Diceros bicornis minor: one gene and its partners. The protein of the gene in region 2 interacts with the protein of the main gene of each other region in a pairwise test. Links are inferred from orthologs where the notes say so. Each region holds a gene or a part of one and is shown on either strand. Other genes may lie near its edges. The genes, in order: LENG8, ATN1 and WWP1.

Region 1 (9,625 bases), on a different chromosome or scaffold from region 2:
TGCTTGGCAGATTAAAAAAAAAAGGTAGGAGGGGCAGCTTAAATACCGCAGGCATCACCACTGCTAGCCCCCTCAAAACACTATAGCCCCTGCTGGAACTCAACACGGAGACAGCTGGGGCGTTACCTGGTTCAGAGTCCCTTGGTGCTGGGGTGCCGATGGCTGCTGGGGTGTGGCTGAGCCGTAGGAGCCGGCTATCCCGTACTGGGAGGGGGAGCCGTAGCTCTGGTACATGCTCTGCCAAAGGCACAGGAAGGAGGGTTAGGGGCAGGCCCAATTCCTGCCGTAAGGTCTAGGCCTGCCCCCTTCTCCTGCCACTCAGGAGCCATACACAACTTGTGACTCTCCACTCATCTCTCACCCCTCTTTCTCCCTCCACCGCATAAATGCATCAAATTATCTTATATTAAAAAAATTAGTAAATAAAATGAAAACTGCTATCAATTCCATACCCCACTTCCACTAGTTTTTAGAAGTTTCTCTCTATTCAACAAATATCTACTGAGTGCCAACTCTTCTATGCACTACAATAGAACAAAATATAAAAGACTAAACCTGTGCTCTAACAAGTTTGCACTCAAAACCTAGGCTCAGTCGTAGACAAACACGTAACACATCCAGCGGCAAGTAAAAGAAGGCCAAATAAAGACAGAGACAACAGGGTGAGCGGGGGACAGCCCTGTACATGACTAAGTTTGCCAGAGGAAAGGGCTCTCTGAAGGTGACATCTGGGCAGCCCTCCAGGAGGCGGGGACACAGGGCGCCGTGGGAACAGGGGAAGAGAGCTGCAGCAGAGCAGAGCAGAGTGTGAGTGGACCTGGTGTGTGCAGAGATGGAGGAGGTCTCTGTGGCAACTGTCAGCGAGCATGCGGGGAAAGGTGGCCAGAACCAGGTAACGTGGGACTTGGCGGGCCACAGGCAGGACCGGGGATTTATCTCGTGGGCAATAAGCTAGTGGAGGGCTTTTCAGCGGTTGTCACTGCTGACTTCAACCCACTAACTACTCTGGACCCATCCTGACTGAGCCCAGCTCCTCACCCACCCATCCCTGCCGGGCTGGGCACCTACCATGGGGTAGTAGTAGCTGTAAGGGTAGGCGTAGTTGTACTGCTGGTACCACTGGTAGTACTGCTGCTGCTGCAGGGCCGAGGCTTCTGCCTGTGACACGTACTGTGGGAAGAGAGGCCCACACGCCATCAGCGTTGGCAGCAGGAACCCACGGGCCCCACAGCCCCCACAAGGGCAGGCTGACTTTCTGGTGGTCAACTGCCGGAGTGGAACTGGGTCCACATCTCTCCACAGAGAGCCACTGCCTCTACCTCGGACTCGGGGCACTGAAGGCACGCCTCGCTCTTCAGGTTAGGTTCCCAGGGGCAAGGACCACATGGTACCTCCGACTCTTCAAGGAAACAGACCTGCTTCCCCTACCCGAAAGCTCCTACAATCTCTTCAGAGCACTGTGTCCAGTGATACAAAGACACCACATGTGTGCCTCCCCCAGCAGCCCCCCGTGCAGCGTGCCCAGGCCCGTGCGGCCCTCTCACTTGTGCGCTGGTCACCGGCCCATTGCTGCTGGCCTTGGCAGAGCTGCCAGCAGCTCCTGCTTTGCTGATGCTGGCCAGGGCCTGGCGGGCCTTCTCCCACTCTGGGTTCTCGTGCATGGGCGTCTCCATGCCGTTCTCTCTGCCCGCCCCCGCCACCATGCTGTACTGGGAGGACCTGCAGAGAGAGGACGTCGAGTCAGTCTCCTCTCCCCACTGCACACAGTGGGCAAGACGGAGGCAGGGAAATACCAGAGCTCAAATCCCGGATCTCCCTCTCTCCATCTATAAGAGCCTAGATTTCCTAATCTATGGTAATGCTGACAATTAGTTTCTGCTTCAGTTTTCTGAGGGATAAATGAGACTACCTACCTAAGGTACTTTTCCAGGTGCCTGATACATAGCTGTTAAAAATCAAACAGGGGGCCAGCCCCGTGGCGTAGCGGTTAAGTGCGCGCGCTCTGCTGCTGGCTGCCCGGGTTTGGATCCCGGGTGCGCACCGAGAGGCACCACTTGTCAAGCCATGCTGTGGCGGCATCCCATATAAAGTGGAGGAAGATGGGCATGGATGTTAGCCCAGGGCCAGTCTTCCTCAGCAAAAAGAGGAAGATTGGCATGGATATTAGCTCAGGGCTGATCTTCCTCAATCAGTCAATAAAAATCAAACAAATGAAAAAATTACCAGTGTCCACAGAAGTAAACATGGAACCTGGCGCCTAAGAGGTGTAAATGTTTTATGAATCAAAGAATTCCGTTTGACGCTACCCCAGCCAGCAGGTAATTATCACAATGCGGTGGAAAAAACAAGCAATTAACAAAAAGATAAATGCTTGAGTATTAAGTGTTGGAGACCGCCTCCAATCATAGTTCATGAATGAATCATCACAATCTTGTGAAACAAGCACTGCACTGTGAAATATGAAAGTTCAGAGAGGTGAAGACCCAACCCTCTTCACACTATGACCACATGCTTCCTTTTATGCTTGAGGCCAGAGGAGGGCGTCATCCCCACCGCTGCCCACAGGGACTGCTGCATCACTTCCCCCACGCTGTTGTGGGAGGGCCATCCCAGAGGACAACACTGGCTCTCACGTCCTCTCGCCCTCCCCTCCAGCTTCTGTCCCACTAGCCCCACTAACCAATCTGTGCTCCGTTGATCACCCACGTTGGCCGCCATCTGGACCTTGGGGTGTAAGGGGTGGACCTCGGGAGCCAGACTGCTTTTTCACTGTCTACGAGAAAAAGAAAAGAGTTAGGGAGACTCAAGAAGGAGCAAGAGACATGTCACAAAAACAGGAAGAGAAGTGGATGGACTCAGAGGAGCTAGGCAGAAAGGGGGAGTCTGAGAAAGAAGGAGCCACTGGGGTAAAAAATCTGAAGAGAATTCTGGGTGTCAATTAAAAGGGCTACAGTAAGAGGGCAAGACCTTGGCCTCCCTGCAGTGCTCTAGGTGGGAAATGAAGGATCTGAAAACAGGGATGTCTGAAGGAATTTCCCAAAGGGAAGGAGAAGGATCTGAAACACATAGGAGGAAGGGGAAGGTGGTTCAAGGGAAACTCTGAGACAGATAAGAGGGAGGTCCAGAGGGTAGGCTGGGGGGACCTCAGTCAAGGGGTAAGGAGTCCAAGAGGAATTCCAGAGAGGAAGCAGAAGAAAGAGGACGCCCTGATGAGCAAAGCCTGAGTGAACTCCTAAGGCTGGCGGACGCTGAAAGGTTTCTGAGGGGAACTCTGTAAAGAGGGAAGGGTTTGAGGGAGCCTTGAGAGAAGAGAATACCAGAGAACAGAAAAAGAAATCAAAGGAAAAGGGGATTTCTATAAGTTACTCCTGGAAACAGGGAGAAGTTGAGGGTGCCCAAGGGGAACCCCGCAGTGAAGAAATGGGTTCTTGAAAAGCTTTTAAGAGACTAATTACAGGAAGGTCCCCTAAGGGCACAGAAGAACCCTACATGGCAGGTTCCTAAAAGGAGGGGTAGGCCCAGGAAGGAGAAGAGGCAGCCCCGCGATTGGGGGTCTGGAAAGTAAGCTTCAGGGATGCCTGAAGAGATCCAGAACATCTTTAGGAGGTTGAGACGGGGGTGGAGAGGACTGCAAGAAAGTGAAGGGGTGTCTTGGAGGCAAAGACTGAGGGGCCTGAACTTGGGGGGATAACTGAGAAGTATGGGTGGGCTCCAAGGCGAGTCTCACTGGAGAACCTGAAAATCGTAGAAGTGAGGGAGCAGGAACAGAAGTCTGGAGCTGGGAACAGCCCTAGAAAAGAAAGGCCTTAAAGAGTAAACAAGAGGACGGGGGAGGGTAGGAAATAGGGGAGGAAGGCCTGCAGTGAGCGTCCTGGCGAGTCTGAAGGGTGGAGGCAGGAACCGGACGCGAGGCCGGGGAGGCGAGGGGCACTTGGCCGCCCCGCAGGCCCGGAGAACGCAGAGCAGGGGCACCGGCTGCAGGAAGAGCCCACCTCGGCCCCCGCGACTGGCTCCGGAGCCACCGCCCCGGGGAAAAAGCCGGCGCAGGAGCCGCCCGTCGCCCGGGACAACGCCGCCCCGCGGCTGGAATCGCGCGGTCAATGGGTGTTGAGGGCGGGGGCGCGCGGGCCCCGGAATTCCGAGGGCGGGGTCGGCAGCCGGGCCCACGGCGCAGGCGCGCGGGTGCGCAGGCGCAGTGGCCGCTCCGGCCCGCCACACCCTGTCGCCGCTCGCGCGCGGCGTCCGCTGCTGCGACAGCCGCCGAGGCCTCCGGGCCCGCGCGGAGTAATGCCGAAAGGAGACGCCGACCACGCCCGCCCGCCGGCCCGCAGCTCCCCACACCCACCTCGGCCGATCGCCCCGGGAATCGTCAGCAGCGGCCCAAAGCGAGAGCAACACGGCCGCGAGAGTGCTCCCGACCCGGCTGGCTCTTGTCTTCCTAGGGCTCCGAAGTCCCGACCGCGGCGTGATGACGTCACACGGAGGCCTCGCCCCGCCTCCCTCCCGCCGCACAGCCAATGGCCGCCGCAACCTTGATCTGAGCCCGTTCCCCCCCCCCCCCGCCTACGCAATGACGCGGTGGGCACTTTAAAGGCAAGCCGGAAACGGGGCGGGGGGATGGTGGCCCCGAGGGGACAGGCGCCGCAGGCTTGTAGGACCCTGCGCCCTTCCGCGCAGCCGTGTGGGGCCTCGGTTCGCGGTAGCCTTGCTTATCTCTAGGTGTAGACTAGGGTGATGAGAGTTGTAAAACTACCCACCGTACAGTGCTGCGGAAGGCCCGGGGAAGACAATGAACTCAGAGAAAGGGGGTGAGAACAGTCTCCCCTTGGAAAGGGGAGCTTCCCTACTAGATAAAACGGGGAAGGCGCACCCGGCGGAGGGAACGGCCTGGTGAAACACTCAGAGGCGGGAAACAAGGGTAGGTCGGGGAGAATGCTCGGAGCAGGTATAGGATGGAAGTGTGTGGCCTCCTGGCGTGAAGAGCTAGGCCAGTAGCAGATCCTGAAAGTCTAAGGAGTTTGGCCTTCCTTTAAACTCCTTGCAAGTCACCTTTTGAGCATGCCATCTGTTTCCATGCAGGACTCGGGCTGATAAAATTATCCAGTCCAGTTCAGGGAGCGGTCACTGGAGTCGCAGTAGGTGATAGAACAGTATTTCAGAGGCCAGTTCCTTCCCACTTTCTGTTACTATAGACTTTTCTCTTGGTGTATGTATCATTTTGTTACTGTTAGCATATGATGAATAACCAAAAAGCAGTAAGATACATTGGAGTATGTGAGGAAGCCGTTTGGTTTAAAACTAATCCAGCCTGACCTTGTTTTTCCAGAAAGGGTTGACCTGGCCTGTCGACTATGCGTTGTCCATCTGTTTTGAACATTTACAATGACCCAAAGCGGAGAATGATGCCCTTGAAGATAGGGATATTGCCTCCCCTCATATCAGTATTTCTTTCAAGATAAGCATTTCTTCCTAGAAATTAAGGGTTAATTACTATCCTGCTTTAGCTCATCTCATTACCGTCGACCTGCTGTGCTAGCAAGTATCCTGTGACTGTAGTAAAAGATATTCCTGGCATAACTGATGTATATTCCTTGTTCCAAAAGAGTCTATAACCACTCTGTATACCCCGCTGCTTCAGAGAGCTTTCTTCCTTGGTGAAGGTACTCTCCCCGGCTATGTGATCCTCAGGACTGGCTCATCATAAACTCACCCCCATTTGATTTATAGATTGATTACCGATTATTTGCATCGACACATAGTTGACCTTTTTCCATTCTTTTACTTTTTATTATTAAACTTTTTGTTTTAGAATAATTTTAAACTTACAAAAAAGCTGCAGAGATAGTTCAAGGTCCCACGTACCCTACACCCAGTTTCCCCTAATGCTGTCATCTCACTTTACTGTGGTATGTTTGTTAGAAGGAAGAAACCAACATTGGCACGTGACTATTAACTAAACTGCAGGCTTTATCTGAATTTCACCACTTTTTCCACTGACGTCTCCTTTATGTGCCAGAGTCCAGTCCAGGGTACCCCACTGCATTTAGCATCCATGTACATTTCAGGGTTATATTTAAGGGGGTTTTCATGTAGACGGCATATAGCTGGATCTTTCTTTTTACTCAAATGTACAATCTCTGCGTTTTAAAAGAGGTGCTTATAACTGTACTTTTGGTGTGACTATTGGTTTGGTTCCCTTTAAACTCATCATCTTGCCATCGAGTTTCTATTTGTTCCATCTTTCTTTATTCCCCTTTTCCTCTTTTTCTGCCTTCTTTTGCTTTGAGCATTTTTTTAAAAATAGACTTTATTTTTTAGAGCAGTTTTAGGTGGGGCCTTTGGGAGGTGCTCTGCCTCGGGGCCCCTCCCCTGCACTGTGGTGGGAAACTCTCTTCTGACAGACTGGTGATTTCAGGGATCACCTTGATATTTCCCATCTCTCAGGGACCACTCTCCCTCCTTGCCTGATGTCCCGAGTCTTGAGCACCGTTCTTTCACGAATTTTGCCTGGCTTTTTGGTTGTCTCAGGAAGGAGAGCAGATCCAGTCCCTTTTAGTCTATCTTGGTCAGAAGTGGGAGTCCTCATAGGTATCATTTAAAAATAAATGATAGATTTTAAATTTATAGATTTACTTTGGTAAAGATTGGGCAAATGTCCTTTTTTCTTGGGTAAAGCTTCCTGATTAAAGATCACTGGAAGGCCAGCTGGCAGGAAATCACGCGGCCTGAACCTCAAGGGTACTTTGCGAAATCCAACACATCGCGCTGGACTCAGAGTCACTAGGGGGCAGTGTTTGAGAGCAAAACAGCCAGACTAGCAGCAGGGCTGGCCCCAGGGTCAGCTCACCGGGTCTTGAGAAGCAAGTGAGTCAACACAGGTGGCCCCCAGAGCCCTTCACAGGAAATTATAGTCCATTTCTCTTTCCTAGCTTCAGGGCCACACACTGAAAGCTCTCTTGAACACTCCTTGCAGTGCACAGGATGGAAATGATTAGCAAGCACAGAGCGGTTCCCCCATGGCAGGCCCTATGCTGGATACCCGCATCTGACACTCAGCCAACCAGCCCTCACCCGAAACCCTCAGGGCCATATATGTGTCTTGGGGCTCCAGGATTTTTCAAAGTTTTGAGAGACAACATGGTTTATGTTCCATGTGGCACACCACATCCACAGCACCCTTCACAGCACTTGGAAGTAACCCCATCAGTTTCTGCAGGGAAACAGATGAACATTCACACCAGGCAGGGAGATAGTCTGGAAGTCACCTCATGCCAGGTCGGGTCAGGTCCTGCTGCCCAGGGAGTTAAGGGAGGACGTTTGGTCTAACACAGCTCTTTGGATTTCAGAACTGCAGAGGAGGGACGGGGGAGCTGTCTTTCATGACCCATCTGATGGCTGAGGCAGCTGAGGTCCAACAGGTCAGGTGACTGCCCACGGCCAACTGGTGGTAAAGAGCAGGCAGGGCTTAACCACGGCCTCCTCTGTGTTTGTCTGCTCTGCTGCTATTGTCACACCCACCTCAAATCCCTCCTCTCTCAGGCTTTCCCTGAAATCCCAGGCCCAGCCAGGAGCTGTCGTGTTCTGGAGAGCCCTGCTGTAGGGTGACTTATCAGACATGTCGTCTTTCTGTGGACTTTAGTTTCCAGAGTTTAGCTGATGGTTGCAGCAAACAGTCCTTGACATATGTCCTCAGATGCCTCTGCTTTCTTTCCATAAATTGATTCCCAAAAGTAGGACTGCCGGCTCAAGGGTCTATACAGTTTGATTTTATCACACAGGAGCAGATTATTTCTTTCGTGTTGCAGTTCACAGCCTCGGGAGCAGGGCGTTTGGGTGCCTGGTTCCTCCACATCCTTGCCAGCATGGAATGTTAGTGCTCCTTTAATTTCGTGATAACTAGGTGGTGGAAAAAAAAGTTTGTGGTTGTTTCAAATTGCACTTCCTAATTATTATGGTTTGAATGGTTTTTCGTTTTCACTGGTGATGGGATTTTCACTTCATTGAATGTCTATCTTAGTTGCTTATTTTTAAGTTGGGTTGTATTTTTCTTAGTTTGTGGAAGCTTTGTAGATTATATTTATATATTAAGAATTATATATTTCTTTGCCATATATGTTAAAAAAACCCACAATTTTCCCCAGACTATCAATTTGCCTCTTGACAGCATTTTTTTCGTTCCACAATTTGTCAAATGTTACCTTTTCCTTTTCGGCTTTAGGATATCTTGCTTAAAATCCTCCCCCTCCAAGCAAGATATACAATATACAGAATTCTCCTACTTTCTCTTGAAATGCTTCCATCCCTTTACTTGTATACACTTAGATTTTTCACCCATCTCGTATGTATTTCCAGACAGAGAGCCAGTTAAGTCAGCAGTGCTTCGAAACCAAACGGTCCTTCTCACCCTGACCTGCAGTCTGTCTTCTGTCATCTATACAAACACTGAGATCTATTACCAGGCTATCTATTCTGTTCCAGGGATGTCCACCTCGTCCTGTGTCAGGACACATGTACTGCTTTTAAAACCAGAGAAAAAAAGTTATTTTTTTTTTTAAAAAGAACAATCCCTTTGGAACCGCCGCAAAGCCTGGACAGGAGCAGAAACACCGGCAGCCAGGAGGCTGAGGGGAAGGGATCTCCCCGGACCTAACTAGGAGGCCAGAACCAGGAGGGGACAAATAAGAAGGACCCAGATCCTTGTAAAATAAAGTCTTCCCTTTTATTTCAAACCAACCCATTCCCAAGTTAGTGCCACAAGTTGAGATCAAGGGCCCTAAGCCCACTGGGGCACCGCAGGGGCGGGGGCACTCGTGTCCCTTCAAGGATGGGCCTGGCGGCCAGGGGTGAGGGGGTGTGAGGCTGGCTGGCTGCCCCTCCCTGGCCAGTCCGGGGCCCTGGCTGCCCCCTCAGCTTACTCCCAAGGGTTAGGACACAAAGAGGGGGGCAGGACAGGGGAGCAGTCCTATTTGGGGTGTCCGTGGCCAGCGGCGTTGTTAGTGGTGGGAGCCCAGTTGGGCTGGGTTAGTGGGGTCTTCTCCAGCAGCCAGGGAAGGAACTGCAGAGAGAGGCAGAGACAGGGCACCAGATGCAGGTGGGAGGGCCACCACCGTGCCCAGAGTGAGGGAGAGGAGGGCAGAGGCCGGCTTTGGGAGCTGGGGTGTCGCTCTGGCAGCTCACCGGAGGTGGGGGGTAGGCTGCAGTCTGGCATGGAGGAGGGGCTCAGATAGACGACTGCCACTGCACAAAGCGCTTGGATTCCTGCTGGGGAGATTTGGGTGAGAGGGGACATGACCAACGAATCTGGCTTTGTAATGTGGGCCCTCAGCCCGCCTCCCTCAGACCAGAAATCCAGGCTCCTAGCCCCTCTTCCCTCAGACCCAGGGGTCCAGGCCCCCGGCCCCTCCTCCCTCAGACCCAGGGGTCCAGGCCCCCCGGCCCCTCCTCCCTCAGACCCGGGAGTCCAGGCCCCCGGCCCCTCCTCCCTCAGACCCGGGAGTCCAGGCCCCTGGCCCCTCCTCCCTCAGACCCAGGAGTCCAGTACCTGAGGGTTGAAAGGGTCGTCATCGTCTGTGTCATCGTAGTCGTCACTGGGGTGTGATGGGGGGAGTGGCAGAGAAACAGGATG
Region 2 (9,687 bases):
AGTGAGGGGGGAGCCTAACCTTTCCAGGAAATTTAATAACAATTTACTTAAGGGCTGGCCCAGTGGCGTAGTGGTTAAGTTGGTGCACTCCACTTTGGTGGCCCACGGTTCGCAGGTTCGGATCCCAGGCGTGGACCTACGTACCGCTTATCAAGCTGTGCTGTGGCAGGCGTCCCACATATAAAGCAGAGGAAGATGGGCACCTATGTGAGCCTAGGGCCAATCTTCCTCAGCAAACAGAGGAGGATTGGCAACAGATGTTAGCTCAGGGCTAATCTTCCTCACCAAAAAAAAATAAATAACAATTTACTTAGAGTCACAAAATAGCTGGGACAGAGCCCCAGGTCTTGTGAAGTTACAGCTGATGCTCTGCCCAGTAAACCAGCCATTTTTCTTCAACTACAACTATTACCACATTTTTAAGCAGTTGTGTAGATAGGTTTTAAAATAGTGTTGGGGCCGACCCCATGGTGTAGCCGTTAAGTGTGTGCGCTCTGCTGCAGCGGCCCAGGTTCGGATCCTGGGCGCGCACCAATGCACCACTTGTCAGGCCATGCTGTGGCGGCGTCCCATATAAAGTAGAGGAAGATGGGCACGGATGTTAGTCCAGGGCCAATCTTCCTCAGCAAAAAGAGGAGGATTGGCATGGATGTGAGCTCAGAGCTGATCATCCTCACAAAAAAATAAAAATTAATAAATAAATAAAATAGTGTCAACCCAAAAAAAATCCAAAGAACAAGACCCAACATAACAAAAGGGGAAAACAACCTCAACAAAAGCATAACAAAGATGACTATTTGTGACTGGGTGCCTTTGCCAGCCATTCTAGAGGAGGGTGCCCTTCTCTCCCTCCATCACAGAACCTGTTCACCAAGTCAGTTAGGGCTTGGGGATCCAAAAGGGCAGAGCAATCCCAATGTGCCCCTCCCCCACCTCAATTTTTTTAATCTGTTGAATTTTGATGAAATTAGCAATGAGTAGCTTTGAAGGAGAAAAGCAGTCATAAAAGGGTAGGTAGGGGCCAGCCCCGTGGCATAGCAGTTAAGTGCGTGCGCTCTGCTGCTGGCGGCCGGGGTTCGGATCCCAGGCGCACACCAATGCACCACTTGTCAGGCCACGCTGTGGTGGCGTTCCATATAAAGTGGAGGAAGATGGGCACGGATGTTAGCCCAGGGCCAGTCTTCCTCAGCAAAAAGAGGAGGATTGGCGTGGATCTTAGCTCAGGGCTGGTCTTCCTCACAAAAATAAATAAATAAATAAAAATAAAAAGGGTAGGTAATCCTGGAAATAAGGAGTGGCAGGGGGAGAGGAGTTAGGATTGGGCTGCATATATGTTTCTGAACCTGGGGCACGTTTTAGCACCAACAAGTTGAGCGACACATCTTGCCCTAAGGAGCCAGTCACTATGACTAACATTTATAGAGCACCTACTATGTATCTGGCAACACACAAAGCACATTCACCTTCATAGCCTTACTGCAAAAGGAAATGATAAAGACCAGACTGGGAAGGTGGAAAAGTGAGAAATAGAGAAAGAATCTCTAAGAAGGAACAGGAAAAGAAATTAAGGGAGAAATATGAGAAGGATGTCAGAAAGAATACAACTGAGGCACAAGGCTTTCTGGGAAGGGCTTGCAGGGTGCATTTCAGGATCATTGGCCCAGCCCCCATCATCATTCCGGACCCGCCAGACTCACAAACCAGTCCAAAGTGACTCCTAGATAACAATGCAGCCCAGACCAGCAGATAACAATGGACTGTCCTAAGCCTTAGAATCCAGGTTGTCAGAGGGTTGTCAGAGAAGAAATCATCTTCTCTATAACCCTTTCATCTTACAATGAAGCTGAGGCTCAAACAAAGAGAAGTGACTCGCCCAAGATCACAGTTAGAGGTACAGCCAGGACTAGACACAGGTCTCCCAGCTCCTGTTCCCGAGTATTTCCAGTGCACCAGGCTGTTCCACAGCCCTCTCCCCTGGGCCACCCTCACCTGGGATGGGTGTGGAGAGCCCAGCCATTCCTACAAGGTCAGGGAAATAGAAGGTGGAAGGTTAGCTGAGGAAAAGGGTCACTGTGGCAATAGTCTGGGAAAGAGAAAAAGGGAGACTCAAGTTTAAGCAAATGGAAGACTATCAGTGCAAGGAAGCAAAGAGACCACTGTATACAAAAAATCTCAAATAATAAGGGAGGTAGAGAGCCCAGAAAGAACTACCAAAAGATCCTATAACTTCAACAGGAGCATTTCCATTCTCCCACCATGCCTAGGGGGAGGGACCTGGAGAAATACCTATGACCTGCAAATAACCTGTCTCCCTGTTCCAACAGACTGCTGGATGGAAAGCGGTGGACTCCCTGGGGAATCTCCTATCCACCAGCAGCACCAGAAACATCTCCAGAACCCAGCCAAGAGTCCCAGGAACATACCTCAAGGCTGAGGTCCACTCAATATTCTGAACCCCCACCTATTGGATATCCCACAGGATCATTGCCACGGCAACAAAATGGCAGAACCTGCCCCTCAAGAGTCCATCCCAGGGGTCCATCTGCTAGCCACTCCCCCTCCAGTTGCCAAAGCAACTCCTATCCTCCTATAGCACCCTCAGAGAAGGGAGCTTAAGAGTACCTACCCCAGTAGGAATAAGCCCACGCACAAAGGGAAATCTTTGAGTTCAAAACAGTAATGAAGACCCCCGCCCCATGGAAACCATGGCTAGAGGGACAGTGGGCACTCTGAGGATTTGAGGGTAGAGATCACAACTTGTTTGGCGTGCCTATAAAATTGCCCAATCCCCCCCCCCCCGCCCCAGCCTGTTTCCACCCTCCCAGAAACCCCTTCTCCCTAACTCTCCTTCTTCCTCCTCAATAGTTTTAGGAGGACTCACACTACTGGGCCCCAGTGTGCCCCTCTCCAAGAAGTAACTATGCCTGGAATTGGAAAAACAAGGCCAGAGGTGACCTGGAGTAGGGGAAAGAAAATTGAGTCACAAAAGCATCACCCTCCCACTTCCACCCAGGAATACCTCCAGTTCTTCTTCTCAAAGGTGGCCCTCTCCTTGGCCCTTTCCCGGCCTCCTTCTCCTCAGGTTCCATCCTCCTCCCTCATCAGCTACAATCCCCTCTCTTTCCACCTACCACACCCCTTCCCCATCTCCCACTTCCCTTCTATACCTAAGCACCCGGTATAGAACCCGGGTTCTGGGCCTTTGGGGTTTTCCTGGACCCCTCATGCCCCACCTCGCTGCCATCTCTCCATCCTTGTTGCCTTCGCCCCGAAGCCCCCTCACGGGCAGCCCCCGTTTCTCCTCCGCCAACCCTCCACCTCGGCGTTCCTCTTTTGGTGCCAGGGTCCCGGCTACCCACTAGCCCCATCAGCCCTCCTCCTGAGACCCTCCCACGTTCCCCCACCTTCCAGATCCTCCCGGTGCCCTGGTCCCCATCCCTTTTCGGGGGCCGGCCCCACCCCCTGAGCCCCCACCCTCAGGCCAGGCAGTGCCCACAGTGGGGGGACCGGATCGGGAAAATAACAAATGGAGGCGGCGGCGGGAGAGGGAACCGGGAGGGGTGGGGGTGGGGAGCCACGGGCCAGAACCCGGGCGGGCCCGAGGCCCGGGGGGCAGCAGATCTTACCTGGTTGTGGCTCGGGACGGCTGGCTGGCTCCGAGCGGGATTCGGGGCTCCGGCGCCTCCGGGCAGCGGCGGCGGCCGCTCCCCCGCACCCCTCTCCTCTTCCTGCGTTCAGTCGCCGCCGCTACGGCGGCGGCGGCGGCGGCCCGGACCCTCCCAGAAGGCTGCCCCCATCCCCCTTTTTCACTCCACCTGGCCCCGATCGCCCGCCGGCCCGCCGGAGCAAATCCCGACCGCCGCTCTCGCTCGGCCCCTCCCCAGGCGCGCCGCCTCCCCCGGCCGCCCGGAATGCCGGGGCCGCGCCGCCGCCCCCGCCGCGCCGCTCGCCCCCGCGGCCCGGCCGGCCCTCTGCGCGGCTCTGCCCCGCCGCCGCCCGCGCCCGCCCGCCGCAGCCGGCGCTCGCGCGGCCCCGGCCCCCGCCCTGCGCGGGCGGTCGTCCCTGCGCCCCCTCCTAGCCCCTCCCCAAGGCCAGCGGTCCCCCCTGAACGGGTCCCGGCCCGAGGCCCCGGCCCGACGCGGGGCTGCGGGCTGGCAGGGCGGCGCGTCCGGCGACTCGCACAGGAAAGCGGACGGCGGAGGGAGGGAGCCTGGGAGAGGGGGATGGGAGAAGGGAGGAAGACGGAGAAGGAGGGAGCGCGGAGGAACGAGGAGAGAGGGGCCAGGAGGGAGACGCGAGGGAGGGAGCGCGAGGCGAGCGGCGAGGGGGGAGAGTGGGGGATCGGAGAGGGGGCGGCGCTGCGCGAGTTGGCCGAGACCGAGGCCGAGGGGCCGGGGCGCGGGGAAGGGTTCGCCGAGGCGGAATGTGGGGAGCCCGCGGGCCTGGCGCCGAGAGGGCTAGGTAGGAGGGGCTGTGGGTTGTAAGGGCAGATCGGGGAAGGCTGGAGAAGTTGGGGGGCAAAGAGTCTGTGGCAGAGGTGAGGTGGGAGGTTGTATGTATGTGGCAGAGATTGGAGTAATGGGGTTAGATTGGAAAGATGGAGCTACATGGGGGCTTTGGGGGCAATGAAGTCTGTGACAGGAGGCGAAAGAAGCATGGGGTGACAGCGTCTCTGGCAGACATATAGCCGGGGAGGTTTGGGGGGCAATTATGAGAGAATGGGATGGAAGTTTGGTGTCATAAGGTGGGGAAGAAACTGAAAAGATGGAGACATATAGGAGGATGGGGTTTCTGGAAGAGTAAAGAGGTTGGGGGTGATTAGTGTTAGGAAAAGAATAGGGAATATAAGAATTTGGGGATGATGAAAGAAAACTGAGGAGAGAGAAATCCAGAGATGTCAGTGTAGAGAAAGAAGGGAAAACATGAGGAACCTTAAGAAGGGATGAAGGAGGTGGGGCCAGATGCATGTTCTAGGGGGAGGCTGGGGTTCTGAGTGGGAAAGGAGGGTGGAAGGCACAGAGATGGCTGGAGGAAGGGGGTGGGGGGTTTCCAAAAGAGCTGAGGAGAGTTTTGGTAGGCAAGACAAGGTAGATTGAATGGGGTGGGGGCGGAGTGAGGGGGGTAAAGAAGATTAGAAGGAAGTGTAAGATAAACAAGGCCTTTGGTGGCAATATGGAGGAGGGAAGGTCAGTGATGGAAGACCCGAGTGAAGATGGGAAAGGAAAACAGCAGAAGGAAATGATAGAAATGGGGAGGGTAAGCCCCAGGGTAGGTAAGGGATTAATTTATAGGAGTGTAACACCGTCTTCAGGCCCTTCTGTCTGGTGGTGTCTCCATTTTCCTTTTCAAATTTGTTTGAAGTCATCACTGATGGGGTACCTTGGGCCACAGGGAAGGGGCCAGGTGGGGATTAGGCTCAGTGTGGAACCAAATCTCTGGGTGTCCTGGTTCCCCAAGCCCAATGATTCTAATATGGAGACAATCCCCACCTAGTCCGCAGGCCGTTCCTCCTCCCCCCACTGCTCTCCAGGCAGCCTCTGACTCTGTCAGTCTGCCAGCCATTCCCAGTCTTCAGCCATGAAGCCAGCACCCCCACCAGTCCACCACCAGTGTCTTCTTCTGGGCTCCCTCCCTGGCCCCACACCAAGCTGCAACATCTCCAGGACAAAGGACACCAAGACACTGGGTGATTTTTGGCAGCTGAGATTGGGAAGGCCAGAGAATGGGAGGGAGGCAGGCAGGCTGGGAAACAGGAAGAGCTGGAGCTGGAGTCTGGATTGGAGCCCTCAATAGCTCTCCAGATTTGGGGTGGGGTTAGGGGATGTGTGGGGCTAGGCCAGCTAGAGGTCAGGGGTGGGCCCTGAATGGCAGGATCCCACCAGCCTTCTGGGAAAGAAGGAGGTTGGCTCTGTAGCAACTCAGATTTTGCCTCGTATTTCCTTGAGCCAGGCTCAGCCAAGTTCTAGGAATACCCTAAAGCTCTAAATGGATTCTAAAGCACTGGGGAACCTGAGCGAGAAGGCTTCCTTGGCCTAGGAAAGAATCAGCACTCTTTAGTGTCTTGAATTGATTGGCACTCACTTTACCACCCCATGCCCACCTTCCTTATCCCTCAGGGCCTTCTAGAAACCAGGCCAGCTCCCTATTCCCGCCCCCTCCCTCCCCTACCCTGTGCTGCTCCCCTCTCTTCCTCAGTGCCCTAGGATAGCCCTGCTCCTTCTCCCCACCCCTAACTTTGTTCCTTGACTCCTCCCCTCCCTGGTGCATTTCCTCCCCTGCACTTCTCAGTTCAGTCTCCCTCTGGGCCCTGGCCCAGACCCTTCTGAGGTCCCTTCCAGGCTGAGCTCTTATCCCTCATTTCTTAACCACTAAGAGATGCGCTAGAATGGTGACATATCTGAGCCTAAAAGAAAAATTTAGGCATACGTAGGAATGGGATGGGGAGAGTTAGAAGAGAAGCCAGGGTCTACCCCCTCCAATTCCTCCTCTGCCTGAGGGCCAGGCTCACAATTCAGCATCAGAGAACATCACACACACACACCCCACCATCTCTCACCCCAGCTCCCTTTCGGGCCCCAGCCCCCCACAACCCACTGGTCTCCAGGCAACGGCACAAAGGGAAAGTGGAGAGAGGGGCCTGGGAGGCCCAGGCCAAGCTGGGCTAGCTGAAACCCAATCCAACCCAGTGCCTGAGGAGGGACATGGCTGCCAGAGAAGGCAACCTAGCAAGGAGGGAAGAGAGGGCAGAGGTTAGGAAATGTGGCTCTAGCCAGAATAGTCCTGCTCAGTCTAGGAGTTACTGAAAAAAGACGGATATAATGGACCCCAGAGAAAACTGAGAGGCACAGAGAAAAGTACAGTGTGCCCTAAGGGAAACAGAAGGGGAAGCCAGGAGACATGGAAGAGAAGGGAAAGATGAGATGCCCACACTGAAATTAAGAGGCCAGAGAAGAGGGGGCAAGAAGCTCTTTGAACTGAAAATGGCTGAGGTTGTCAGCGACACAGAAAGAAGAGCAGAGAAATGGGTCCTGCCCGTACAGAACTGGAATCCTCTCCTAGTCCTGGCTGGGCAGAATGGCAGAGGGAGCCCAGGACCAGAACTGAGAGTAAAAACAGTGGAGGCCCACAGAGGGAACATCCTTGAAATGCCTCCCCCACCCCTCCCCTAGCTTGGGGAGCAGTATGGTGTCCTGCAGAACCCTGACTCCCTCTAGTGGTCACAGCTCCCCCACTGCAGCCTCTATGGCTGGGCTCTGCCCTGGTGTCGAAGCACTGTGAGGGGGTTTCTGGGGGGGGGGGGCGGTGTTCCTGGGTTCCCATCTCAATGCTGGGGTTCCACTGGAGCTGAAGAGTTGTAGTGGGTCTCCAGCCACACATGGCACGACCCAGCCAAGGGGGCCTGTTGGGCACTAGTTTACTGGAAGACTCAGTTCATCAGGCCCTCCTCTGTACACCCCACCCACCCCCACCCCCACACCTTCTTCCCTCCCCAGTTCCACATCTTGCACCGGATGATGCCCATGCAGTGCTGTTCCATCCCAGAAGCGGCCAGGATTGTTTGGGAGGGGCTGATATGGGAGCTGCTCGAGTCCACAGCTTTATCCCTTCTTTGGTCAATGCCCTTTGGGAATTTGAAAATACTTTGGACCCCTTTCCCCAAAAAATGCACATATACACAGAATGTTTGATACTTTTAAGAATTCTTGGACTCCAGATTAAGAATCTCTAATTCACCTGGGTCCTGGGACGAGGCTTGCTGCCGAGCAGGCAAGGCAACGTGGTCCCCATCTGGCCGGGGTAGGCAGTGCCATCATCCTGGCCATATTTGCTCGGTTTCTTCCTCTTATTCTGCCCTCCCCAGCTCTGCTATCCAGTTTCACCAGCTTCCCGGTGTTCCATCTTTCCTCCCTTCATATGGACTAGAGTAAGACTCCTCAGACACAATGATGCACTGTGATTCAGACTTTAATGGTGGTGCTCATTTCAGTGCCACAGAGGTGGTGGCATCTGTGGAACATGGCATGGGGGAGTGAGACATTGTTCTGGTGCAGCTGGAGGAAGAAGAGGGAAGCTAAGGCTGGGGAGAGAGTTATCGGGGAAGAGCCCCCAGGCACACAGCCCCACCTCTGGACTGAGCCAGGCTTCAGTTAAGGGTTGGCACACACAACGGAACTGACGTCAAGGCCCTTTTCTGTTACCTTTTCCAGTCCAGCAAGACCTCCCACCCCAGGCCATCTCAGAATCTACAGCCACATGAAATACAGACACATAGTCCCCTCTAGTCAGGCCAGTTTTTGGCCCTGGAGTTATGGGGAAATGATTAATTAATTAACAGGATGAATAAAAAATAAATAAATGAATAAATAATACACTAAAGTCTTAGGCCAGGCATGACCATGCAGCCGGCACTCCTCTCCACCTCAGCACTCTGCAGTTCCTGGTTCATATGCAACATGAAACCAGCACAAAGCAAAGGTGACATGTGGCCCCTCTCTAAACACCTCAGCAACCAACGCTGATGCTCCTGTCACAGACGCTGATCATTCTTCCATGGACCCCCTTATAATCCTCAGTCTCACGGCCAGTTTTTGAGGAGAGAGAATAGAAAGGAAGGAGAAGTGGAGAGTGTGGAACCCAGATAGGGGAGAGCAGAGACAGCAGGGGCCAGACAAGCCAAGGAGCAGCGCAGCAGGTCAGCCGGGGTGTCTGGGGTGAAATACCACAGAGCAGGACAGGAAGCAATTCCAGGAGGACGGAGCAGGGTTCCAGGCTCCGGGTAAGCAGTGGGATCACAGCACGCTGGGGTTGCGGAAATTATGTCCGGCAAAGCGAGCTTCATCCCCCAGCTCTTCTTCAATTCTGAGAGAGATGAGCCAGAAAGGAAACGTCAGGGAAGCAGGAGGATCCAGGTCTCTTTCCAGGAGGCTCCCAGCCCCCAAGGCCCTCACTCCACCTGCTCCTGTGTCCTAGCGCAAGCGTGAGCATTCCCTGGCTTTCCCATGTAACCTGTGGGATCCATCAGTCATGCTATTAGTAAACTCATCTTTCAAAAACAAATATTTTCTGGATATCTACTGTTCTCCAGGCCCTGGACACTGGAGATGGAACAGTGGGCAAACAGACCTGTTAACCATCTGGGCCCTGGGCTCCCATTCCCCAGGTTCCCTCACCTCATGAGCTGGTTGTACTTAGCCAGACGCTCAGAACGGCACGGGGCGCCAGTCTTGATCTGAAACATCCCAAAAGATAAGCAGCTCAGTGGCTGCCCCTTCATTCCTTGAAAGGACACTTATACTCCCTTAAAATTCCCCTGACACCCTCAAACACCTAGAAGGAGAGACCCACCAATTCCACAAAGATCTCCCTTGCACTTACTTGGCCTGTGCACAGCCCCACCACCAGGTCAGCGATGAATGTGTCCTCAGTCTCTCCTGAGCGATGACTCACCATGACTCCCCAGCCATTCTCCTGGGCCAGCTTGCACCTGTATCCATACACCAGCACTGACCCCCCAGCTCCTCACACTGGGCACTCTCTTCCCAGCCCCAAGATTGGGTCTATGTCAAGAAACATCTGGAGGAAAGCTGTCTGGGAGTGGAGCAGAGAATTGGGTGGAGGAAGCAGAACTAAGAGAGCTATGAAGGGGACTCCAGGCTCCCTGCTCTCTTCACATCTGTGGGCAGGATT
Region 3 (9,968 bases), on a different chromosome or scaffold from region 2:
TGTCAAGACAAACATTAACCTTCCTTAGAATTTAGGAATTATCTGATACATGGTTTTACATAATATACTCCAAAAAAAGTTGTTTAAACATGAATTTGAAGTGTATACTAAGAACTTTTTAATGGTAAATCTTTTTTTTTTAAATGATAAAGCTTTTTATGTAATGGTAAAATCATGAAATATCATGATATATATTTTGGAAATCAGATCCCGATTTATATGCTCCAAAAACACAAATTTTCATAAACTACACGTCTATAAAAGGAGAACAAACTTCATCTGTAAAAGCAGCTGAACTAAAATCAACAAATTTTCAAAAGGAAATTAATACCTACATTTCACCAATGTACTTTTTCAGACCAAAAAAATCAACTTTTGCTTTTTCCTTGACAGGAAAATAACCATTTGTGATAAATACAAATTTCAAAATTACCTACCAACAGCCACTGCAATGAGGTTACCATTTTAACACAAAGGAGGAAACAGACAAGTTCAGATCTACACAGTACAGAAGTTTAACAGATTCCAAACAGGTAAACTCCATCTCCTCACAACAGCCTTCAGTTAAATTTCCATTGTAGATGAAGAGTCAGTGGGAAAAGAACACTGACCTAGGAACAAAAATATGGGTTTAGCTCTAGTTCTAATTTTAGCCACTTACTAGCCATATACCCTGGAAATTTAACTTTTTATAACTTCTTTGAGCCTCAGTGTTTTCATCTAAAAAGCAATGATTATCTCCCGACACACTAGTGCTCAGCTGTCATGAGAATCAAATGATAAAGTCTATACAACCATTATGAAAAAATGTAAAATGCTATACTAATATATGATACTCTTCTTAATGCCAGGAGAGAATAAAAAAATCGTCTATGTATGTGCTTTCATTAGACATTTTTCCTCCATTACGTATTAGTAACTAGGTCCTTCAACACCACTATAAAGGCCAATTTATTTGTTTTTCCACTGCTTGTTACAATTACATCATATTTTTATAGGGTAAAAAAGACCCCAGTCTTTCTAATCATTATGGAATCAGTTTCTAGAGCTATAAAAGATACCACGTAATAACCTGTTCTGGTTCCCTACCAGGAAGATCATCTTATAGGTGCAGAAAGGTCAATTGTTTACTAATCAAATTATGCTTTAACCATACTAGGGAGAGTCAGCTACTTAATCCAATGAAAAAATTCACTGATACGACCCTGTACTTCATTTATTTTATAAAGTTTCAGTTTTTACTTGATACAGGCTTCCTGAATGAAGGACAGGGTATTCTTAAGTAAGGCATACCTGAACAGAAAAAAGTTCTTAAAGCTTCTTATTTCATTCACTTCACATCCCTCCTCCCCTGCCCCAACCCAAACTGAGATACAAAGAAAATAAGTAAGTAAATGACTGGTCTGATATTGCCATCTGCTCTCCATACACCCAATCCATTCCTCAGCCTCACCAGCAACCCTGCACATGGAAAACAAGAAGGGTACAGATAGTTCAAGGAAAATCTAAGACCAATAGCAAAATGTCAAAAACTGGAAGAAACCTCCCAGGATCATCTAGACCTTACTGATGAGGTCACTTAAAGGCAGTAACTATATCCAGTCGATGGTAAATCAGCTGCATTTATCTTCCTACAAAGAAAACCATCATTGTCAATCAACTTTTGACTCCAATTCACCCACTTGCTAACTGAAATACTTCGGGCAAATTATTTAACCTCTTGGGCTAGTCTGTTCTGTAATATAACAGCAAATAATATAAGTTAGTCCACATCCTCTGTAAACTGTAAACCACAACACAAGTGTAAGGAGATACTGTCTCTAGGTGTATTTACAGTCTGTCTCTACAGTAGGGGTTCTTATCAACTAAGTGGAAGAATCTGAAGGCTCTACTGCCTTAAAAAGCCCCCAGTAATTCTGTGAGCAGCTCCCAGACTAATCCACTGGCCCATGGGTTACATGGATGAGCTTCAGGTGGTCCATGGACTCCCCTAAAATTATATCCACAAAGCACAGGTGCACATGGAAATTTCCCAGGCCAGCAGATTTTAGTTTCAAGGATTAGTAATCCCCAAAAGGCTGAGAACCACTGCTATAAAGTAACACACATATGCCCAAGATAAAGCTTCCATGGATGTCGTTCAAAATGGTACCACTATTCTCCCAATCAACCTGGATGGGAATCTTAGCTATCTTTTACTTTCTTCATTTCCTCTCTCATCAAATTCTGTCTCTTCTACTTCCTTCCTCCTTCCCACTCCTATTATTAGTGCTGCAGTTCAGACCCTCACTACCTACAACCACAGCAATCAAGGCCTTCCTACCCCAGGGTCTCTCTACTTCAATTCACTCCACACGCTGATGCCAGATTAATCCTCTGAAAGCTAGGCTTTAATCATTTCATTCTCAACTCAAAAATCATCTGTAAGACACCCCCCCCCATCCAAGGTCATTAGCCAGGCATATACAACAATCATAAACCGGTCCAGATTTTTACTTCAAGCTTTACCCTTTCTACCAGCACACACACCGTGTGTCCCATCCAAACATAATGCCCTGCTCCTCCCCAAGTGTTTGACCTCGGTGCTCTCAGTCCCTTCTCTCTGCTTGGATTACCTTTCCCAGCCTATCCCGAGTCAGTCATCCTTCAAAACAAAGATTTCAGAAGCCAGCTCTATGAACTAACCCCACCTTGCCAAATCAGATGTGGGCTCTACCCGCTCTGAATGTGAATTCTCTACGCAACTTAACTATATGTTAAAAGACAAACGAGGCCTTTGTGTACAGTCCTACGTGCCTACCTCGTCTGTGAAAGCAGAAACTGGTATCATCTTCATCTTTATATTCCCCCAAACACCTCACACAGTCATGCAGCAGAGGCTAAGAACTGTGCAAGGAGGCAAAAGAAATTCCAGCCTTCGCGGGGTAAACAGCAAAGACGACTATTTCCTTGAAGGCAAAGACCTTCTCAGCGACATTCTCTATCATGCGAGGCTTACAAAAAACATAACCCTTAGTTACTGCTTTTCAAAGCCCTGGTGTGGTAGGTCTTAGAGACCTTTTTGCATTTTAAGGGAAGAACCATGTGAACATGTGAATAAGCTACAGCCCGAAGAACTCTTCCCCACACTCGACACTTCTTGATTTGAGCAGCTCCCAACACTTGGCCGCTAAGTTTTCAACTGAAAGAATAGTAACTTCTTACGAAAAGTGACCATTTCCAGTCACAGATAACGTGCCACTTGATGGCTAACAGCAAGTCACATAAATAAAAGAACGCCTTTCTTTCTTAAAAGGCGCGTTCTGCTCGCCCCACACACGGCGATTGAGCGAGGCAGGTGAGGCCGACTTAAACATGTGCTCCTGTAGAAATCTGCAGACCACTGTCCACTAGGAATTTCGGGCAAGAACAGCACAGGGAGGGAAAGGAGAACTTCGGGTGTAATTCCTGCCCACTCCTATTACCAATGGCACTTGGAAGCAGACGCTCAAATCTTTCTCGCACGTTAGCCTACACAGAAAGATAAAAACTTATCAAACAAACAAGAAAGCGACATCGAGGCCCTGGAAAACATCTCTCCCAGGAAGACTGCAAACGTCAAGGTAACAGACACCCCCCTCCCCGGCACGGAAGGGGTCGCAGCATCACGGGGGCCCACGGAGCCCACCCGAACCACGGTGGGGAGACAGCCCGCGCCCAGGCTGCTCGTGCGCAGGCTGCAGCGGCAGCGGGCACAGCGCAGGACGAGAATTTCAAAAACAGAGATGAAACGAGAAGGTGCAAGTCACCGACGAGCTGAGGACTAGTCAAAACTGCAAGGTCACCGCACCTCCCAGGTCACCGGGGGGGGGGCGGGGGCCGGGGGCCGGAGCGCACCGCGCGGGAAGCCCGTCCGACGGAGCCGTGCGGGGGGCCCCGCCGGCGTCGGAGCGGAGCCGCGGGCGGAGGGCCGGGCGACTCCCGGCACGCCCCTCGCCGGCCAGCGCTCGGGCCCGGCCCCGCGCGCCCGCTCTCCCGGCGCCGCAGGGCGGCCCGCGCCCCCCGAGGGTCCCGCCCCGCCTCAGCCGCCTCAGCCGCCCGCCGCCCGCCGCGGCGTCCTCACCGGCGCGACGCCGTCGGCCGGTGGCCCTCCTCCGGCGGCGGCGCCTCAGCCCTCCGCGCCCACGGGCGCCATCTCGCAGCAGCGCGGCCCCGGCCGCCAGGCCGCCTCCGCCGCTCGGAGCCCGCACGCCGCGCGCCGCCGCCGCCCGCGTCGACCCCACAGCCCCGCGGGAGCGCGCCGACGCCCGCCCCACCCCCGCGGGAGCGCGCCTCTCGCCCGCCCCGCCCCGCGCGCGGCGCCGCGGCCGCCCAAGCCTCCCGCTCCGGACCGGAATCCGGCTTCCCGCGAGCATGCGCAGTGAGGCGGCGCGACGACGCGTCTGGGAAACTCCGCTCCTCCGGGTCTTCGGAGCGGCCGAGGGGCCAGCCAATGGGAGAGGGGGGCGGGGCCTGAGCCTGGAAGGGGCGGGGCCGCGGCCCAGACTGGGAGGAGTCTTCCCCGAGCCGGGGGCGGCGGCGGGGCAGGCTGCTGCAGACCTGAGTCTCGGGTTCGAGGCCGGACCTGTGCGTGACCTCAAGTGAGGTCGTGGGGCGCTGGCGTTCAGTTCTTGAACGCTTTACAGCAAAAGGAGACTGTTAATATAGCCCCCTTGACCTAACCGAGTGTTTGACTTAGAACCCATTGGGAGAGGAAATAATAGCGTTTAGGGATGGTCATAAGCAGAGTGCCAGTCCATTTTTATTGGTACTCAAAACGTTCACTCCTCCCGCCCCCATGAGTACAGTGATAAAACTAATACTGAGCAGGTACCCGTGTCAGGGCGATTAATCCGTACAGCAGTGCCATATGGAAGGGTCTGTTCTCCCCATTTATACAAACCAATCAACTAGTCTAGAGAGGGGCTGTTGGTTCTGTGTGTGGCTTTTAGAAGAAAGGCCACCCTGCAAGTAGAAGTCACTGGTGACCGCATTGCTCACCAGATGACCTGTGCTTCTACTTCTTCTACTTCAGAGAGAGAATGAAGACCATCAAGCAGGGATTTCTGCAATTTTTGCCCAACTCTCTCACCCAAACCCCACAAATTACCTACATCCACACGCAAGCCTACTAGTTGTGCTCTGTCTCAGAGGCTGAGTGTCCCTGCTCCTCTCCAAGCAAACCTCTCCCTCCTGGGACCCCCTCCTTGACGTATCTCTAACCTCATCCTTTCTGTTGGGTACAACTCCTCAGTATAATCACATTTTAAGACTTTTCTGTCTTAAATTTTCCCTTGACTTTACAACCTCCTTCTAGTTCTCTGTCTTCTTCCATCATAACCAAGCTTTTGAAAGAATTGTGTACCACGGACAGCATTGACACTCCATGAATATTTGTAGGGTTCAATAAATATCTTTGGACTGAATGAATGCACATTCTCTTTCTCTCCATTACATCAGGTCCTACCCTCTGACTTGATACCTGGATTTGATGCACCCTATATCCACAATGATTATTCCAAAACATACATCTGAGCACGACACTCCACTGCTTAAAATCTTTCATTGGCTCATCAGAGCTTTTAAGACAAAAATAAACATGATCCTCAAGGCTTCTTTCATGCTTGCGTGCTCTGTCTCTCCTGTTATGACAAACTCTTCCGAGTCCCCTGATTGTGCTCACTGGTTTCTGCTTTAACCTTTTCCTCACCTTTTTGTTGGTCCAGTTCCTTTAAAAATAAATTCAAGAACAGACTTACAAGTGCACTCTCAGACATTGCGTACAAACACCCAGCAGAGGTCTGCATTCCCTCTGCAGAGTGCACACAGGCCCCCTTCCACTTCCTGCTCTACTGTGTCTCACTTCAAGCTCTCCTGAGTCCTTAGCTTCCTCCCTCAGTTCTCCTCCATGCAGAAGCTCCTAGTGCTCACCTAGGCCCCAAAGTTGACAGCCAATATTGAACCAGCCTTTTATTATTAAGTATTTCTTTGGTTTCAGATGAACACTATTATGAATAAATATCTTTTCACAAATCATTTTCCGTGTCCTTACTTACTGCCTTAATTTAAATCCTTAAAAATAATCAAAGGCATGAACAATTTTGGCCCTCTAGAAACATGTTGGCAAGCTGCCTCCCAGGAAGAACATAGGCTTAGATGTCATATCACCTGGGATTAAACCACAGCTCTGCCACCCAGGGCCACGTTGAGATTTTCATGGACCCTAGATGCTTTTACCTTTGTGGCCTCTTCCACCATAAAATAATATTAAAAATTATATTTATAACTGCATTGATATAAGGACAATATATTGATACTATACATTAAAACATTTTCTTCAGGGCCGGCCCGATGGCGTAGTGGTTAAGTTCACGCATTCTCCTTCCGCGGCCCGGGGTTCGCTGGTTCAGATCCTGGGTGCGGACCTACTCACTGCTCATCAAGCCATGCTGAGGTGGTGTCCCTCATAGAAGAGCTACAACTGTACAACTATGCTACACAACTATGTACTGGGGCTTTGGGGAGAAAAAAGAAAAAAAAAAAAGGGAAGATTGGCAATAGATGTTAGCACAGGGCCAATCTTCCTAAAAAAAAAGTTTTCTTCTACCTGAACATCCATTTTTTTCCATCTGATTTTAAAAGAAATTAAAACATTTATGGGCCTCTAAAATTATGGTGAGCCTGAGGCACTGTGCCTATCAGGACAATTGGCTAAGGCAACCCTGCTGCCACCTACAAGCTATGAGATTTGGCCAAATTCCTTAATCTGACTGTGCCTCAACCAGGAAATTGGTATAATGCTACCATATAATGTTGTAGTTAAAAGTAAATGAGTTGCTACAAATAAAATACTTAGAACTACATGGCACATAATCAATAAATTACTGTTGTTACAATTTTTGTTCTCAATTTTCCCATAACACTATACGAGAGTATATGATTGTCCTTCTTCACTGTGCCAAAATCATCATGGTGTATTTTTATATGGGCAAATATGATATCTTATTGTTGGTTCATTGTCCATTTTCTTGCTGAGGGAGTCACAATAAGGCACTTTATATAATGTAGATATTGATTCTAGATAAAACTATTGGTCTTTTCCATTTTTATTTTCTTCTATTATTTTTTGCTTCACAAGTCCTTTTCCATCCTGAGATCATATCATTTATCTGCCTTTATTTTTTTCTACATATTTGACAATTTCACTTTTTCCATAAAATAATTTAATCCTTTTGGATTTATTTTGGTGTGATGATCTACCTTTTTTCTCTAAATAGCTCACAGTCTTCCCCAGTTTATTTGCTAAAGAATCCTTCTCCAACTCTTATGGTTTTAAAATATGTATGCCCACAAATTCATCTATACTCCTCCCTCCAAAAAGTGGAGCCTAATTCCCCTCCAAATGAATGTGGGTTGTTCTTAGTGACTTCCTTCTAATGGACACAATATAGCAGACGTGACAGTGTCTCACGTCCAAGAGTAGGTCTTAGAAAGGTATTGTGACTCCTCCCTACTCTCTTGTAGATCACTTGCTCTGTGGAATGCAGTTACCATGTCATGAAGACATATCAAGTAGCCTTTTCAGAGGCCCACATGGCAGGGAACTGAATATCCTGCCAACAACCAGTAAGGGTCTGAGGCCTCCTGTCAATCTCCATGTGATGGAGCCATCTAGGAAGCAGATCCCCCATCCTCCAGCCCCACTCCTGCCTTTGGATGTTGTAGACGTCTTGACTGCAACCACGTCAGAGACCTTGAACCAGAACCCCAGCTAAGTCACTCCCAAATACCTGACCCACAGTAATTGTGAGGTGATAAGTGTTCATTGTTTTAAGCTACTAAATTTTGGGGATAATTTGTTACGTGGCACTCGATACCAAATGTACTAACCCAGTGGTTCTCAAATGAGGATGATTTTGTATCCCAAGGGACATTTGGCAATGTTGTGAAACATTTTTGATTGTCACAACTGGCAGGGACGAGTGGGGAGAGGTTTCCATTGGCTTCTTGTGGAGAGAGGCCAGAGAGTGCTAACCATCCTTTGGTGCACAGGACAGCACACACACACACACACACACACACACACACGTGCAGCAACGAAGAATTATCAGATCCAAAGTGGCAATAGTGCTGCAGGTGAGAAACCTTCCACTAACCTGTTTTCCCTGCACCTTAGAATTTCCCTCTTGCACATGTAAGTGTGAAAAAGCTGGGTTTGCTTCACATGCTTTGCTCATCTGGGTGCTGCTTTACCTTGTTTTACCCCAGTCCTAGGCAACCACCAATCTGCCTTCTGTCAGTAGAGAACAGTTTTACTTTTTCAAGGATTTGGTATAAATGGAATCATCCAGTAAGTACTTTTTTGTGTCTGGCTTCTTTAGCTCAGCATATTTCAGAGATTCATTCATATTGTTGTATGAAGCAGTAGTTCCTTCTTTTTTATTGTAGAGTACTATACTATTGTATGGATTTGCCAAAATTTTTTAATTTTTGTCTTATTGATGGATATTTGGTTTGTTTTCAGTTTTTGGCTATTATGACGCAATATTTTATGAACGTGTGGTGGAAAGTCTTTGTGTTGACATATATTTTCATTTTTATTGGGTAAGTAATGCCTAGAAGTGGAATTGCTGGGTCACATGGTAAGAATATATTTAACTTTATAAGAAATTCCCAAACTGCTTTGCAAAGTGGTTGTACCATTTACATTTCCACCAACAGTATATGGGAGTTCCAGTTGTTCTATTTTCTCTCCAACACTTGGTAATGCCAGTCCTTTCTGATTTTAGCCATTCTAGTGGGTGTGTAGTGGTAAGTCAGTGTGTTTTAATTTGTATTTCCCTGATAGCTAATGATGTTGAGCATCTTTTCATGTGCTTATGAACCATTTGTATATTTTCTTTTGTGAAGTGTCTGTTCAAATCTTTTGTCCATTTCAAATTGTTTTTGTCTATTCTGTATATATTCTATACACCAATCCTTTGTCAGATACATGTGTTGTGAATCTATTTTCCTAGATTGTGGCTTGCTGGTGTGGTCAACCTCCAAGATGGACTGCGTTGATCCTGGCTTCCTGGTGTCTGTACTCTTGTACAGTCTCCTCCCCTATAGAGCTGACCTGTGTCAGATTTTCCAGGAGGAAATTGTGGAGGTGATGATATGCGACTTCTGAGGCTGGGTCATAGAAGACATTGCAGCTTCCATCTTGCCCTTTGGGTTGCCTGCTCTAGAGAAAGTCTGTCCTTGGCAGACCCATGCAGAGAGAAACTAAGGCCTGTTGATAAACAGCCAGCAGCAACTTGCCGGTGTAGGGGAGGAAGACATATCCTCTACCCACTCTGGGTCCTTCTGTCTGGGCTATGAATTAAAATGACATGAGACAGAATAACAGGAGAAAATCAAACAAAGCTTTATAACATGTATACATGGGAGAGACCCAGGAAAAACTGGGTAACTCACCAAAATGGTGAAGGCTATCATCTTAAATAGCATCTTCAGTAAAATACGAAGGAGGGTGTTGGGGGTAGTGGTTTGGGACTTGTAAGGGGAGGAAAGAAATTCACATGGAAATGTAAAAGCAAATGTTCGGTGAACAGAATTTTGATAAGAACGGGCTTGGCAAGGACCCTCCCAGTCTATTGATACCCAGAGTTATCTATGGTGATGGCCTGTCCTGGGGACAGGGCTTCTATCTTGAATTTCTTTTGGGCAGTTAGTGAGGGGGTGGTCAAAGTTTCTTTCGGAGTCTTTTGTTCTTGAAAATAATCAAGGTGAAGAGATATATTTTGAAGTGGCCAATTCTGATCCCCCAGAGCGGCCATAGGTGGCACTTTGTAAGTGGATCCTCTAGCCTCTGTCAAGCCTTTGGATGACTGCATTCTCACGTGACACTCCCAGCCGGAACTGGCCAGCCAAGCATTTCACATATTCCTGATCCACAAAAATTGTGA

The links.
Region 1: the proteins of ATN1 (region 2) and LENG8 interact in a two-hybrid assay, tested with the Homo sapiens proteins (2 studies listed by BioGRID and IntAct). The link is inferred for Diceros bicornis minor from reciprocal best matches to the Homo sapiens genes ATN1 and LENG8.
Region 3: the proteins of ATN1 (region 2) and WWP1 interact in a two-hybrid assay, tested with the Homo sapiens proteins (2 studies listed by BioGRID and IntAct). The link is inferred for Diceros bicornis minor from reciprocal best matches to the Homo sapiens genes ATN1 and WWP1.

What each region holds. Positions count from the first base shown.
Region 1 is NC_080773.1:32,059,288-32,068,912, forward strand, and holds the start of LENG8 (leukocyte receptor cluster member 8), read right to left. Parts: upstream 4,449-9,625; 5' UTR 4,346-4,448; intron 2,774-4,345; 5' UTR 2,719-2,773; coding exon 2,681-2,718; intron 1,720-2,680; coding exon 1,545-1,719; intron 1,171-1,544; coding exon 1,069-1,170; intron 238-1,068; coding exon 127-237; intron 1-126. Other genes in the region: TTYH1 (protein tweety homolog 1), read right to left, coding at 9,022-9,055, 9,178-9,258.
Region 2 is NC_080756.1:54,837,217-54,846,903, forward strand, and holds the start of ATN1 (atrophin-1), read right to left. Parts: upstream 4,350-9,687; 5' UTR 3,627-4,349; intron 1-3,626. Other genes in the region: ENO2 (gamma-enolase), read right to left, coding at 8,790-8,859, 9,171-9,229, 9,376-9,484. UniProt on the Homo sapiens protein: Transcriptional corepressor. Recruits NR2E1 to repress transcription. Promotes vascular smooth cell (VSMC) migration and orientation. Corepressor of MTG8 transcriptional repression.
Region 3 is NC_080772.1:36,150,081-36,160,048, reverse strand, and holds the start of WWP1 (NEDD4-like E3 ubiquitin-protein ligase WWP1), read right to left. Parts: upstream 4,225-9,968; 5' UTR 4,103-4,224; intron 1,331-4,102; exon of another isoform or gene 438-1,330; intron 1-437. UniProt on the Homo sapiens protein: E3 ubiquitin-protein ligase which accepts ubiquitin from an E2 ubiquitin-conjugating enzyme in the form of a thioester and then directly transfers the ubiquitin to targeted substrates.